Oryctolagus cuniculus: one gene and its partners. The protein of the gene in region 3 purifies or fractionates together with the protein of the main gene of each other region. This does not show direct contact. Links are inferred from orthologs where the notes say so. Each region holds a gene or a part of one and is shown on either strand. Other genes may lie near its edges.

The links.
Region 1: the proteins of STK24 (region 3) and PPP2R1B purify together in Homo sapiens (affinity purification with mass spectrometry; 3 studies listed by BioGRID and IntAct, with this or other methods). This does not show direct contact. The link is inferred for Oryctolagus cuniculus from reciprocal best matches to the Homo sapiens genes STK24 and PPP2R1B.
Region 2: the proteins of STK24 (region 3) and MOB-like protein phocein purify together in Homo sapiens (affinity purification with mass spectrometry; 4 studies listed by BioGRID and IntAct, with this or other methods). This does not show direct contact. The link is inferred for Oryctolagus cuniculus from reciprocal best matches to the Homo sapiens genes STK24 and MOB4.

The regions. Positions count from the first base shown.
Region 1 is NC_091432.1:103,722,075-103,726,105, reverse strand, and holds the start of PPP2R1B (serine/threonine-protein phosphatase 2A 65 kDa regulatory subunit A beta isoform), read left to right. Parts: upstream 1-1,221; 5' UTR 1,222-1,265; coding exon 1,266-1,379; intron 1,380-2,160; coding exon 2,161-2,251; intron 2,252-2,663; coding exon 2,664-2,764; intron 2,765-4,031. Other genes in the region: alpha-1,2-mannosyltransferase ALG9, read left to right, coding at 716-905. UniProt on the Homo sapiens protein: The PR65 subunit of protein phosphatase 2A serves as a scaffolding molecule to coordinate the assembly of the catalytic subunit and a variable regulatory B subunit.
Region 2 is NC_091440.1:69,971,538-69,975,483, reverse strand, and holds MOB-like protein phocein, read left to right. Parts: upstream 1-1,136; 5' UTR 1,137-1,146; coding exon 1,147-1,824; 3' UTR 1,825-3,719; downstream 3,720-3,946.
Region 3 is NC_091440.1:13,996,579-14,000,759, forward strand, and holds the start of STK24 (serine/threonine-protein kinase 24), read left to right. Parts: upstream 1-1,372; 5' UTR 1,373-1,462; coding exon 1,463-1,771; intron 1,772-2,432; exon of another isoform or gene 2,433-2,944; coding exon of another isoform or gene 2,945-2,986; intron 2,987-4,181. UniProt on the Homo sapiens protein: Serine/threonine-protein kinase that acts on both serine and threonine residues and promotes apoptosis in response to stress stimuli and caspase activation.

The sequences.
Region 1 (4,031 bases), on a different chromosome or scaffold from region 3:
GCAGGAGCCAGGTGCTTCTCCTGGTCTCCCATGGGGTGCAGGGCCCAAGCACTTGGGCCATCCTCCACTGCACTCCCTGGCCACAGCAGAGAGCTGGCCTGGAAGAGGGGCAACCGGGACAGAATCCGGCACCCCGACCGGGACTAGAACCCGGTGTGCCGGCGCTGCAAGGTGGAGGATTTGCCTAGTGAGCCGCGGTGCCGGCTCAAAATCGTATTTATTAATAAGACAGAAAAATATCAGAGCTTGTAGTCCTCCTATGTAGTTATTACTTGAATTCCAGTCAAAAGCAGGGACAGGACATCTAGGTATTCTGTGTTGCCCTAACACGGGTAAATGAAAACCTTCCCTTGAATTTCTGCAGGGAAAAACTCCCAGACCCCCACGTTCCCCCAGGGCCGCCTTTGAGGACACTCGGGTCTGGGGAGGCCACGTCAGGCTGTCTTGCAAGGAGCACAGGAGCCACTCCACGCAGTTTGCAAGGATTAGAGCTTGTCCTAGTTTTGCTTGATTGTTGTACTTCTTGCATGCTAAAGAGCTAAAAAATGGGAGGAAGAAAATACAACAGAAGGCACCATTCCAGTACCAAACTGAAAAGAAACATAAAAACAAGAGAGCAGCATGTTTTTAACAGCTTGCGTGGAAAAAATATTGACTGGGGAGTTTGGACAGCACTGTTCATTTTCTCTCGCCGCCCGCGTTATTTGTCTTACAGAGTAGGAGCCAGATACAACTCTGGCGAGCAGGCTCAAGAAGAGGTGGAGGGGTTCTGTGGAAGCTTGATCCTGAGTGCAGAGATGAAGCCTGGAGACCCAGTGGCTCAGGGCCAGGATGAAGGCAGGGGAGGCGCTAAAACCTTCTTCCTCCTGGCCTCGGACACCCTTTTTGGCCGGCCTGAGTCCTAATAGAGCACAACACTGATCGCTCACGGAGGTACCTGCCTCCTTCAGACCACAACGAGCAGGATGAATCCCTGCCCCTGTTTCTTTCGGCTGAGGAAAGGACACTGGGCTTCCGTTCGCTTTCACAGCCCACCTTTCTTCTGGAGTTCGGACCTCCGCCTCCTGCAATGGGGGTCGGGCGGGAGCCTCCATCGGCGGGGCAGAGGCTCGGTGCTCCCACCTCCGCGGAGCCCGCGCCGAGGCCTCAGCCCCGCCCGCCCGGGCGCGGGGCGGGGCTCGGGGCGTGGCGCGGGGCGTGGCGCGGGCGCGGGGCGGGGCGCGGGGCGGGGGCTGGCGGCGGCGACCATCCGGAGGAGAAAGAACATGGCGGGCGCGGCGGGGCCCGGTACCGGCCCGGGGGCTGCGGGCGGAGATGGAGACGATTCGCTATATCCGATCGCGGTTTTAATCGACGAACTCCGCAACGAGGACGTGCAGGTACCGGACTGGGGCGGGGAGAGCCGTGGCGGGTTGGTCCGGCGTCGCTCAGGGTAGGGAAGGGGGAAGCCCGGAGCCGCTGTGAGGGAGGCCGGGAGGTTGAAAGAGCCGGACGCGGAGCAGAAACTCGAAGGGGAAGCTGGAAAGACTCGCGAGGGGCTGTGGCGCCGAGCCCCGGCCCACCGCGGGGCCTCTCCAGCACCCCTCCGTCGGGCTTCCGACCGTCCCGGGCTGTTGTCGGAAAGCCGGCTTCCCGCCTGGGCGCCCCGTTGCGGGCCCAGCGTGCGAGCCCTCGGGAGGGGCGCAGGGCCGGGCCGCGTGGGAGCTGGGCGGCCTGCGGGTCGCAGGATGCCAGAGGGCCCTTTGAGGTGCAGCCCAGCCTCTTCCCCTGGGCCTGGAAACTGGCTGGGCCTGTTGGGTAGAAAGCGGGTGGCCTGGCTGAGGAACCTAAGTGAGGCGGTGTGTCTGCTTCGGTGTAGGTTGTATTCAGCCGTCTCACCTGCTTCGTCGCTGCCGGAGTTCTGGCTTTTTAACATTGTCCCGCTTGCTGAGTATTTTCTTTCATTCCTTTCTCTTCGGGCCCTTGTAGAGAGTTTGGCCTAGGAATCCTCCCTCTGGCTAATAAGGCTGTGTTACATTACTGTTCCTTACCAATGAAGTGTAAATGAAAGATTATCCTTATTCCTAGACCTGTTAGTTAGTTCACCTGTTTGCTCCTGTTGCCTTTTGGTCTACATTGCAATCATTTTTTATTTTGTTCTTTCCATTTTCTCCTGTAAAGCTCCGACTCAACAGTATTAAGAAGTTATCAACAATTGCTCTAGCACTTGGAGTAGAAAGGACAAGAACTGAACTGCTGCCATTCCTTACAGGTGTGTGAGTCTGTGTTTCAAGAAAGGCACGGACATTTCCATTTACCAATGGCTTTCAGAGCTTTGGCTGTTTTTCAGAGTTTGTTGTCCACAGTATCAAAAAGCACCAAATTGAGGCTGGTATTTTCTGTGCAAAAGAAATTCAACAACACATATGGTAATGTTGTGGCCAGATACGTACAAACATTAACTGTGTATAGCTAATGGGGAAGTCACTGATATGAAGGTATGAATTTCTAGTTCATTCTGTAAATCAGATCCAGGAAAACTGTTCATTGAGGAGAAAATACTGTTAGGATTGGGACTGGATGTTTTTACTATTTACATATTGAATCTATTGCTAGTTTTATGTGAGTGTCCAGCTCTTGGCCAGTTACCTTGTTGGTGAGTACCTGGTTGTTGTCCTTTTCAGATACAATTTATGATGAAGATGAGGTACTGTTAGCTCTTGCTGAGCAGTTGGGAAATTTCACTGGCCTGGTGGGAGGTCCAGACTTTGCCCACTGTCTGCTGGTGAGTATTTCTATGCTGCCTACCCTCCTTCTAGAACCTTTGCAGTATAAATGATACATTGTTTGGTGATAGGCATAACAGCAGTATATTTTAGGCAGCTCATTTTATGGATAGATGCTCATAGTGTTAGCCATTGAGAGAATATATAATGTAAGCACTTTGGATTCAACCCTGTCTTATTATTTTCTATGAATAGAAGTTCTTTATTTTTCTGCCTCCATAGACTTACTAATTTAAAGAGAAAAAAGATTTGGTTATTTTTATGGGTCCCCTCCCCCCCAGTAAAATTGGAAGTCTTGTTTTTCATCCAGCAATATTTTGTCTTTATAGTGTAACTTTTGCTTCTGACTTACACTGTGATTTTGGTCAGTTGACATTTATTGAGGGCCTGCTATATGAGGCATATTGTAAGTTACAATGTTAATGTCAAAGAAAGCCAAACAAATGTAATGAGATCTTTGTTTTTGGTCACAAATATTAGGGTACAATCTTCAATGGGGAAACATAAGCACATTTAAGATACCCAAATAAGAGAGGAGAAAAGAATTAAGGTGATTAGGGGAGACTTCTTAACAGTTGATGTCTGAACTGTTTTAAGAAATGATTGGGTTACAAAGGGAGTAGGGCAGCGTGTGCAGTGGTTTAAACCACCAGCTGTGATATCAGCTAGGATCCCATATGAGCAAGTGCTGTTTCAAGTCCCATCCAGCTCCTTGCTAGTGTGCCTGGCAAAGCAGTGAATGATGGCCCAAGCACTTGAACCCCTGCTGCTCACATCGAAGACCCTGAGGGAGATCCAGGCTCCTGGCTTCTGCCTGACCCAGCCCCAGCCATTGGGAGAGAGTGAACCAGCAGGTGTAAGATCTAGATCTCCACCTCGATCTCTGTCTACCTTTTGAATAAATAAAATAAGTCTTAAAAAGACTAGGATTTCAACAGTTGGACAAGACAGATATGATATATGATACATGTTTCAGGACTTTACTGTCTGATGCTTACTCTTTCTGTCTACTTCTGAACTTTATGGAACCCCACAAGTTGACAGATATGGATTTAGATATATACTGTACCTAGTTATCACTGAAAGTGTGTATCTTTCTGTAATGTTCCTATTTAGATGTCAAACAGGTATTTGAATTTTTTAAGATATATTTATTTGAAAGGCAGAGTTACATAGAAGAGAGAAAGACTTAGAGAGACAGAGATCTTCTACCTGCTGGTTCACTCCCCAAATGATTGCAATGGCTGGAGCTGGGCTGATGCGAAG
Region 2 (3,946 bases), about 56 Mb from region 3:
CAAAAAGCCAGCCAACTTCTCAGGGAAGCAGTAAATGGCTTTTCTCTTTGCAGCCAACATGCAAATTTTGAAGCTCACTGAAAGGGTAGTCTCAGGCTTCACACAAGAGAAAATACAGGAAGACCGAGTCCTGCCAATGTAATTACCAGAGAGAAAGAGCTGACATGCCAGTACTAACAGCCATGGCCAAGGACACTGGTAAGAATTGCCATCATGGGGCTGGCGTTGTGGCATAGCAGGTTAAGCCACCACGTGCAATGCCGGCATCCCATTATGGCACTGATTGGAGTCCTGGCTTCTCCACTTCTGACCCAGATCCCTGCTAGTGTGCCTGGGAAAGCAGTGGAGAATGGCCCAAGTGCTTGAGTCCCTGCACTCATGAGGGAGACCGAGTTCCTGGCTCTTGACTTCAGCCTGGCCCAGCACCAGCCTTGCACCCATCTGGGGAGTGAACTAGTAGATGGGAGATCTCTTTCTCTCCCATCTCTCCCTCTCTCTCTTTCTGCAACTCTACTTTTCAAGGAAATAAAATAAACTGCATCATGAAGACAGGGAACATCAGAACTAATGGTCAAAGGCTAGTGTTCTTTAGGATTTCTTGGGATATTTCAGAGATTTTGGAGCAAGAGAGAGAGGGAAAGGGAGGGAAGGAGGAAGGCAATATCACTATGTTCATAGAATTGTATCTACATGTTACATTGACTGCTTATAACTAATTGAAAATCAAAATTAAAAAATAAAATTTTTAAAAACACATTTACTGTTCTCACTTTTATATATATAATACACACACACACACACACACATATATATATAATTTTCATTTGTTTCTCACTCGGCAACCATTCCTCCTGGTGGCTCTACCTTAGCAAGAATATCCAGATTCTTTTTTGTCTTCCTCTCTCCCTCCCCTCCTGCATCCCTCCCTCACTTCCTCTGTGTGTATCCAGATTCTAATGGTATGACTACAGCATTCCTGTGGCAGCCAAGCACCATCATATCTCCTACCAGGTTGCTCTGCACCCATGCGTGCCTCCCTGGGGTCAGTTCTCAACATAAGTCCAGAGTGATGCATGGTCACAGGAGTTCAAAAACTCACAGATGAATAGAAATTTTCTTAAAAGGCAGGGTGGAGATTCTGGCACTATGGTCATGGCGGAGGGGACGGCAGTGTTGAGGCGGAACAGGCCGGGCACCAAGGCGCAGGATTTCTATAATTGGCCTGATGAATCCTTTGATGAAATGGACAGTACACTTGCTGTTCAGCAGTATATTCAGCAGAACATAAGAGCAGATTGCTCCAATATTGATAAAATTCTTGAACCACCTGAAGGCCAAGATGAAGGTGTATGGAAGTATGAACATTTAAGGCAATTCTGTCTTGAGCTAAATGGACTTGCTGTCAAACTTCAGAGTGAATGCCATCCAGATACTTGTACTCAAATGACAGCAACTGAACAGTGGATTTTTCTGTGTGCAGCTCATAAAACTCCAAAAGAGTGTCCTGCTATAGACTATACTAGACACACGCTTGATGGTGCTGCATGTCTTCTGAATAGCAATAAATATTTTCCTAGCAGGGTTAGCATAAAGGAATCATCTGTAGCAAAACTAGGATCAGTATGCCGTAGGATTTATAGAATATTTTCGCATGCTTATTTTCATCACCGGCAGATATTTGATGAATATGAAAATGAAACCTTTTTGTGTCATCGGTTTACTAAATTTGTGATGAAATACAATTTGATGTCCAAGGATAACCTGATTGTACCAATTTTAGAAGAGGAAGTTCAGAATTCAGTTTCTGGAGAAAGTGAAGCATGAAGGGAATCGTACAGAAAAATGTACTGATCACATAATTAACGTTCATTATGTACTGTATATATCATTTTAGACACATCAATCATGTATTCATATTATAGCTTCTTTGTTTAGATTAGGTTTTTGTATGCTGTGTGTTGCCTTTTAAAAGGGGAAATACTTTTTAAGTTATTCATAAGCTGTATATTCACCGGTGTGGCACTCATGGTTTTTTAAATAAGATTAGTATTATCTGTTTATAATGCCTGTTAATAAAAGAATTTACAGTTTGGTAAAATTGCTGCTAAACAATCATTGGATTACAATCCTCATCAAATAAACCCATATATAAAAAGATGAGTAAGCTTGAGGTCTTGCACAAACCATTTACTAAAGAGATAGTAATGTTTTCCTTTCATTTTGTCCCTGAATTTAGATATTATAGAAAATTCTATAGAACATAAACTGTAAACTTTTCCAAAATGAGATAAAAGTACTTTAAAATTCTGTTTATAGTTTTTGATATGCATTTATGATTATGTGTATATCCAAATATAAATGCAAATGAAGCATTAGTAATTCTTATATAATCTTACTATGCTATATAAAGTATATTCTAGGCCAGCATACTTGGAAAGGATATACCTTTTTACAGCAGTGGACTGTTACATATAAGTTGATGCTAATGATAAGGCACATAAAAGGTATTCCCACTGGAAAACTGTTCACCCCCTTCTCACTTCCCATAATCCTGTCCCCAGATACTTTAGCTGAGAAGTCTTTCACCAGACTGTGACTTAGTGGTGACTTATACCTGTTTATACTCATGTTTGTATTAATTGCTTACAGATTTACCTCATATTAGCAATTATATTACACTACAAGAAAGATGTGTTGGCATAGGCTCTTTGTTTTGTGAAAATTTTCTAACTACTTGGAAGACAGACCTTAAAGCCATTTGATTCTTCCTCTCAGTAATATTAATCTTTTCATCTTACTCTAGGCAGCATTAGAGTTAAAGAAATATTGTAGTATTTATTTTGTACCCTTTCTCCACAAAATTTGAATTAAATACATATGTGAGGTTATTTGCAATAATTGATGCAAGGGTGTTGATGAATGGCCATACATTTTTTAGACTTTGTTGTAGCATATAAGAATTTGGGTGCAGATGTAACGATCTTATAATCTATTGAATGCAGTTTTTCATGGAGTACTAGAGAGGTCTTATTGCCAAATTGATTGTAATGAGGCACTAAGATAGGGTAGAAAAATTATACATGTAGTGAAGAAAATACTTAAACTCATCTCTAAGACATATTTAACAAATGTGAGAAAATTTTTCATTTAAAATAGTTATTTTGAAATGAAGATGAAAATGTATTCATCTTGATTGTCTTCAAAGAAATTATTTATACCATATTATGAGACAAGTATGCAAAGAAAAAAATATGAGAAATAGTAGCATACTGAGAGTGTGTGTATATAGTTTATGCCTTTCCAAGGCTGCCAATCGTTTTGGCTTTGAACAGTACTGTCCCAGCAGCCACAGTCCTTATTGTACCCCAACTCACAGCTATCTTTTAGAAGTTTTATGTTCACGGTGAAAGGAATGTTGAGTTTGAAATTATACGTTTTTTTTTTTTAATGTCACTATAAACTAATGGAATAGTAATTTTTAAGCAAACTTGCTGAATATTGAGAGAATAACCTACTAAGTTAAATTATAGATAGCAATGTAGCTCTTCTCTCTTGATGGTTTCTCATAATGGCTTTCTGTTACTTGACTATTTTCTTGGTGAACATTAGAACTAAAATAGTGACTGGAATTGGTTATCTGGCTAAGGATTTTGAAACACATTTTGAATAATATGACTTAGTGTTTAATGGGGAAATAAAATGATATTTTTTCGTATTCATTCCATCTTCCCTGTACTGTGTTTGGAATTGATCATAAAAGAAAAAAAAAAACTCCAAAAGAAAAAAAAAAAAAAAAAAAGGCAGGGTGGAGGGGGCAAGTGTTTAGTGCTGCAGTTATGTTGCCATTTGGGATGCCAGCATCCAGTACTGGAGTGCTTGCTTTGAATCCTAGTTACTCTGCTTCTGATCTGGCTTCCTGCTAATCTGCACCATGGGAACCAGCAGG
Region 3 (4,181 bases):
AAACAATAGGTTAGTATCTCCATGGAGACAAGAGAACATATAATCTCTATGGAGACCCTCAAATTCTTTTTGGAATTACAGTAGTAAATGATCTGTTGTAATTATTTATTAGGGGTGGAGGGAGAGTGATGAGAGGAAAAGTGTGAGAGGATGGTCCTTTTCTTTCCTTGGTAGAAGTGATTTTTTTTTTTTAAAGATTTATTTATTTATTTGAAAGGCAGAGTTACAGAGAGGCAGAGGCAGAGAGGGCAAGCAAGTGAAGACTTCCATCTGCTGGTTTACTCCCTAAGTGGCTGCAATGGCAGGAGCTGGGCCCATCCAAAGCCAGGAGTTTCCTCTGGATCTCCCACGTGGGTGCAGGGGCCCAAGGACTTGGGCCATCCTCTACTGCTTTCCCAGGCCATAGCATAGCAGAGACCTAGATTGGAAGTGGAGCAGCCGGGACCCAAACCAGCTTTACTGCTTCCTACAGCGCCGGCCCTGGAAGTGACCCTGTTGTCACTCTACGTGCCATCAATTATGGTACTGTAAACTTCCAAAGTTAGGATAGTGAGACTAGATTTCCAGGATGGGATCACAAGCACCTGGGGATCTAGTCCTGTTTAGATGCCCTATGCTGAACTGATGTCTGAATGCAACAAGTGCACAAAAAAGTGTAATGGGAGTCGGGGGGGGGGGGGAGGGTGGGATGGTGGGAAGAATCAGTATATTCCTAAAGTTGTGCTTATAAAATGTGTACTCAATGAATAAAGGGTGTCTTTTGGAAAAAAAAATAAAGTGTAATGATCGAATGCAAAACCGCACAGAACTGTTCCTGACTCAGGCCTTGTCAATCATCAGTGTTCTGGGAAGACAAAGCAGCCAGAGACCTACAGTTCTGTAAACACTGGTTGATGCCTGCATAGGACTGAGAAGAACTTGTTACTTCTATGAGCATTCTTCTTGTTCAGTGAGAATGGAACTCAATGGTCAAAGAAGAAAAACTGAGATAAACAGAGAACAGGAGATAGATCAGCTAAAGGATGCAAGTCTCAGACCATGTCCAGATAAGCCACATCCACTGGGAACCCGTATGTTCCTAGTCTCACTAGCCCTGGTATACAAATATTATTCTGATTATTTTTTATATCTGGAATATTATGGTCCAGTGTCTTCTACCCCTCATTTCACATCCTCACAATTTCTGAGCATTTCCCATGGTATTGCTTCAGATCAGTGCTCTGATGTTACTGTCCATTTGTATCTCAGCACGATGGTCTCCTCTGGCTCTGATTAGTGACCAGAAAAATCATCTTTAATTCCAGACAGCTAAATTTTGGTGCATATACTTCTAGGTTTTTCTCTACTAATACACACACACACACACACACGTTTCTAAAATTAATTTATATGCAGTAGCTTGAAATCAAACTACACAAAGGGCCTTTTAAAAAGTTTACAATGTGTATTATGAAAAACCAGCATGGATTTCAAAACCTTATGCAACATACAAATACCCCTTAATTCCATTTTTCATGAACTTTCTGAAGTGCCTGTGCATTGTTTTGGTTCCTACGTTTTCTTCAGTGAGTACGTAACGAAAACACTGTTTACTGCATCTGTTAGGGTTTTCCACGGTAGATTCCCCAGGATTCTAAATGCCACTTCGCTGCAGCTTTCGATACGTTCTAGTCATTTCCTCAGGCTGTGTCACTTTGGGTGGAATTCCCAGGCTGAACACGACGGGCCCTCGAAGAGTGCACGTTCCTTCTGGTTTGGCTCTTCTCCCGAGGTACGTTTCTTAGCGGTACAGAATTTAGGTAAGCTCGTAAGCGGCTGCTTTTCTGCCTTGTATTTGTCACATCCTCCCCAGAGTCACCGCCCCGGCTTCTCTGTAAGTGAGCAGTGTCCCTGTGACAGCCAGGAAGGCGGCCTGAGGTCTCCCGGGGCTCCCAGCACAAGCAGGGGTGCGGTGCTGCGACACCTCGGACTCTGCTTACCGCGTCCTGCGGCCTCTGGGGGCTCGCTGTGGCCGCCTCACCTCGCACAGCCAGCGGGCAGAACGGGCACTCCCGGCCCGGAGAGGCGCGGGGCAAAGTCCGCACGCCGCTTCCTCCGGCTCGGCGGGCGGCCCGCAGGCCCTCCCCGCTCGCTCCTCGCAGCCGCGCTGCCGGCACCGCGTTCAGTCAGCAAACGCCCGGCATACAGTCGCCGCCCCGGCCTCCGGGCGGTCGGAAACTTCCTCACACGCCGCAGAAGCTCCGCCGCGGCCTGCGGGAGCAGCCCCGGGCCCAGCCCCCGTCTAGGAAGGCCGCCCGGGGCGCGGGCACAGTGCAGCGGCGGCCGGGCGGCCCGGGATCGCCTCAGCGCCCGAGCCGGCTCGCGGGGCTCCGACCCGCTCGCGCCCCGGCGGACGCCCTCGCGGCGCGGCACCGCCCCCCGGGGGGCGTGGGAGCGCGCGCGGGAGCCGCTGGGATGCAGGCCCGGCCGGCAGGCGGCGGCGCGGCGCCTGCGGCCTAGGGCGCCCGGGCGGCCGCCGGGCCTCCTCCTCTTCCTCCCTCTCCCCTCCTCCGCCTCCCGGAAGCGCGGGGCGGGGTCCCCGGCCGGGCCGCGGGGGCGGGCGCGGGGGCCGGGCCGGGGCGGGGCGCTCTCGGCGCTCGCGGGCTCCGCCGGTGGTGCGCGCCCACTCCGGGTCCAGGCGGCGAGTACGTGCGGGCCCAGGCCGCCCGGCTCCCGCCGAGAAGCAGCGGCGGCAGCGGCGGCGGCTCGCGCTCGGCCCCCCGCGCCCCGTGTGGGCGCCGTGCATGGAGACGCGGCCCGGCGCCCGTCGCTGAGCTCCGCCGGCTGCCGGGACCCGCCGGGGCTGGGGTGGCCTCGGGATCCGGCGCGGCCCGCGGGCCTGGTCGCCCGCGCGGATCGCCGCGGCCCGGCCGTCCCGTCCCAGGAAGTGGACGTCCTGCGCGCCATGGCTCACTCCCCGGTGCAGTCGGGCCTGCCCGGCATGCAGGTAGGCAGCCGCGGGCCTCAGGGACTGGGGATGCGGGGCTGGGGCGGAAGCGGGCAACTTGGCGGTGTAAACAGGGCCCCCCCCCCCCAGGCTCTCCCTTCCGGGGTCGCGTCGGCCGGGGTTCGGGCCCTACTCCCGGGGCTGCTCGCGGGCCGCGGCGGCCGGGTGTGGATGTGTGGCGGGGCGCGCGGGGTGGGGGGTGCACCGAGGCCTGGGTGCGGATGTGGGGCACCGGCGCCTGGCCCCCAAGTCCTGAGCAGTGCAGGGCCTGCGGCGGCCCCGCGCCGGGGGAGACGGGAGGGGAAGACGTGCCCTTGGAGGCCCCGGGCGGCGCGGGGGCGGTGGAGGCCCCCCGGGCCCGCGCGGGGCTCGGCTCCTCGGGCGGCGGGCGGAGGGAGGGGCGCCGGCGCGCGGACAGGGCGCGGTGCGGGAAGGTGCGGGCCCCCGGCCTGGCGCAGGCCCCTGGCCCGGCGCTGGAGTTCCACTTGGCGACTTGGTGGGATTTAGAGGAGTTCCGCGCCGTGGACCTGGCTGTTGGTGCTTTGTGGCTGCTTGGCCTAGCGGTCCCCTTTTTTGGGGGGTGAAGTGGGGGGAGGCGTTGGATTTTCGATGGTCGCGAACGCCTTCCAAGTTTTTCCTCCGTAGGTGACTATGTTTCTAGCTCTTGGAAAAAAAAAAAGTGAAACCCCCATCGCGAGCCAACTTGTCATGTCCGTGAGCACGTCGGTAAAGGGTGGCGGCGCGATGCGGGTTCCAGCCTCGCGTTGCTGTGCAGTGTGCCCCTGAAGTTTTGTTTTTTCCCGGACAGCCCAGCCGGGCGGGAGAACGCACGAGCTTCCGGAGATCGGCCAAAAAAAAAAAAAAAAAAAAAGATTTTTTGTTATTTTGTAGACATGGAGGGGAGGGCTGAGGATCGCCCCTGGACCTCTGCTCCTCCTCCATTGGAAACCATCCCCCTGTCCCCCGAAAACCATAGCAAGAAAGCCTGATTTCATTGTTCAGGTTTGAAATCTAGCAAAATAGGAGCTCAGTGTCACCACTTCAGTGGTAGCCAGAATTTCAGGCAATTTTTTTTTTTTAGGAGTAACAAACTATCTTAGGATGGGCGGGTGCCAGAGTGTGTTTTTTGAATCTCATTGAGAGCTCTTTAACGTGCGATGTGAGTTTCTGCTGACCACTAGGTAAAAATCTGATG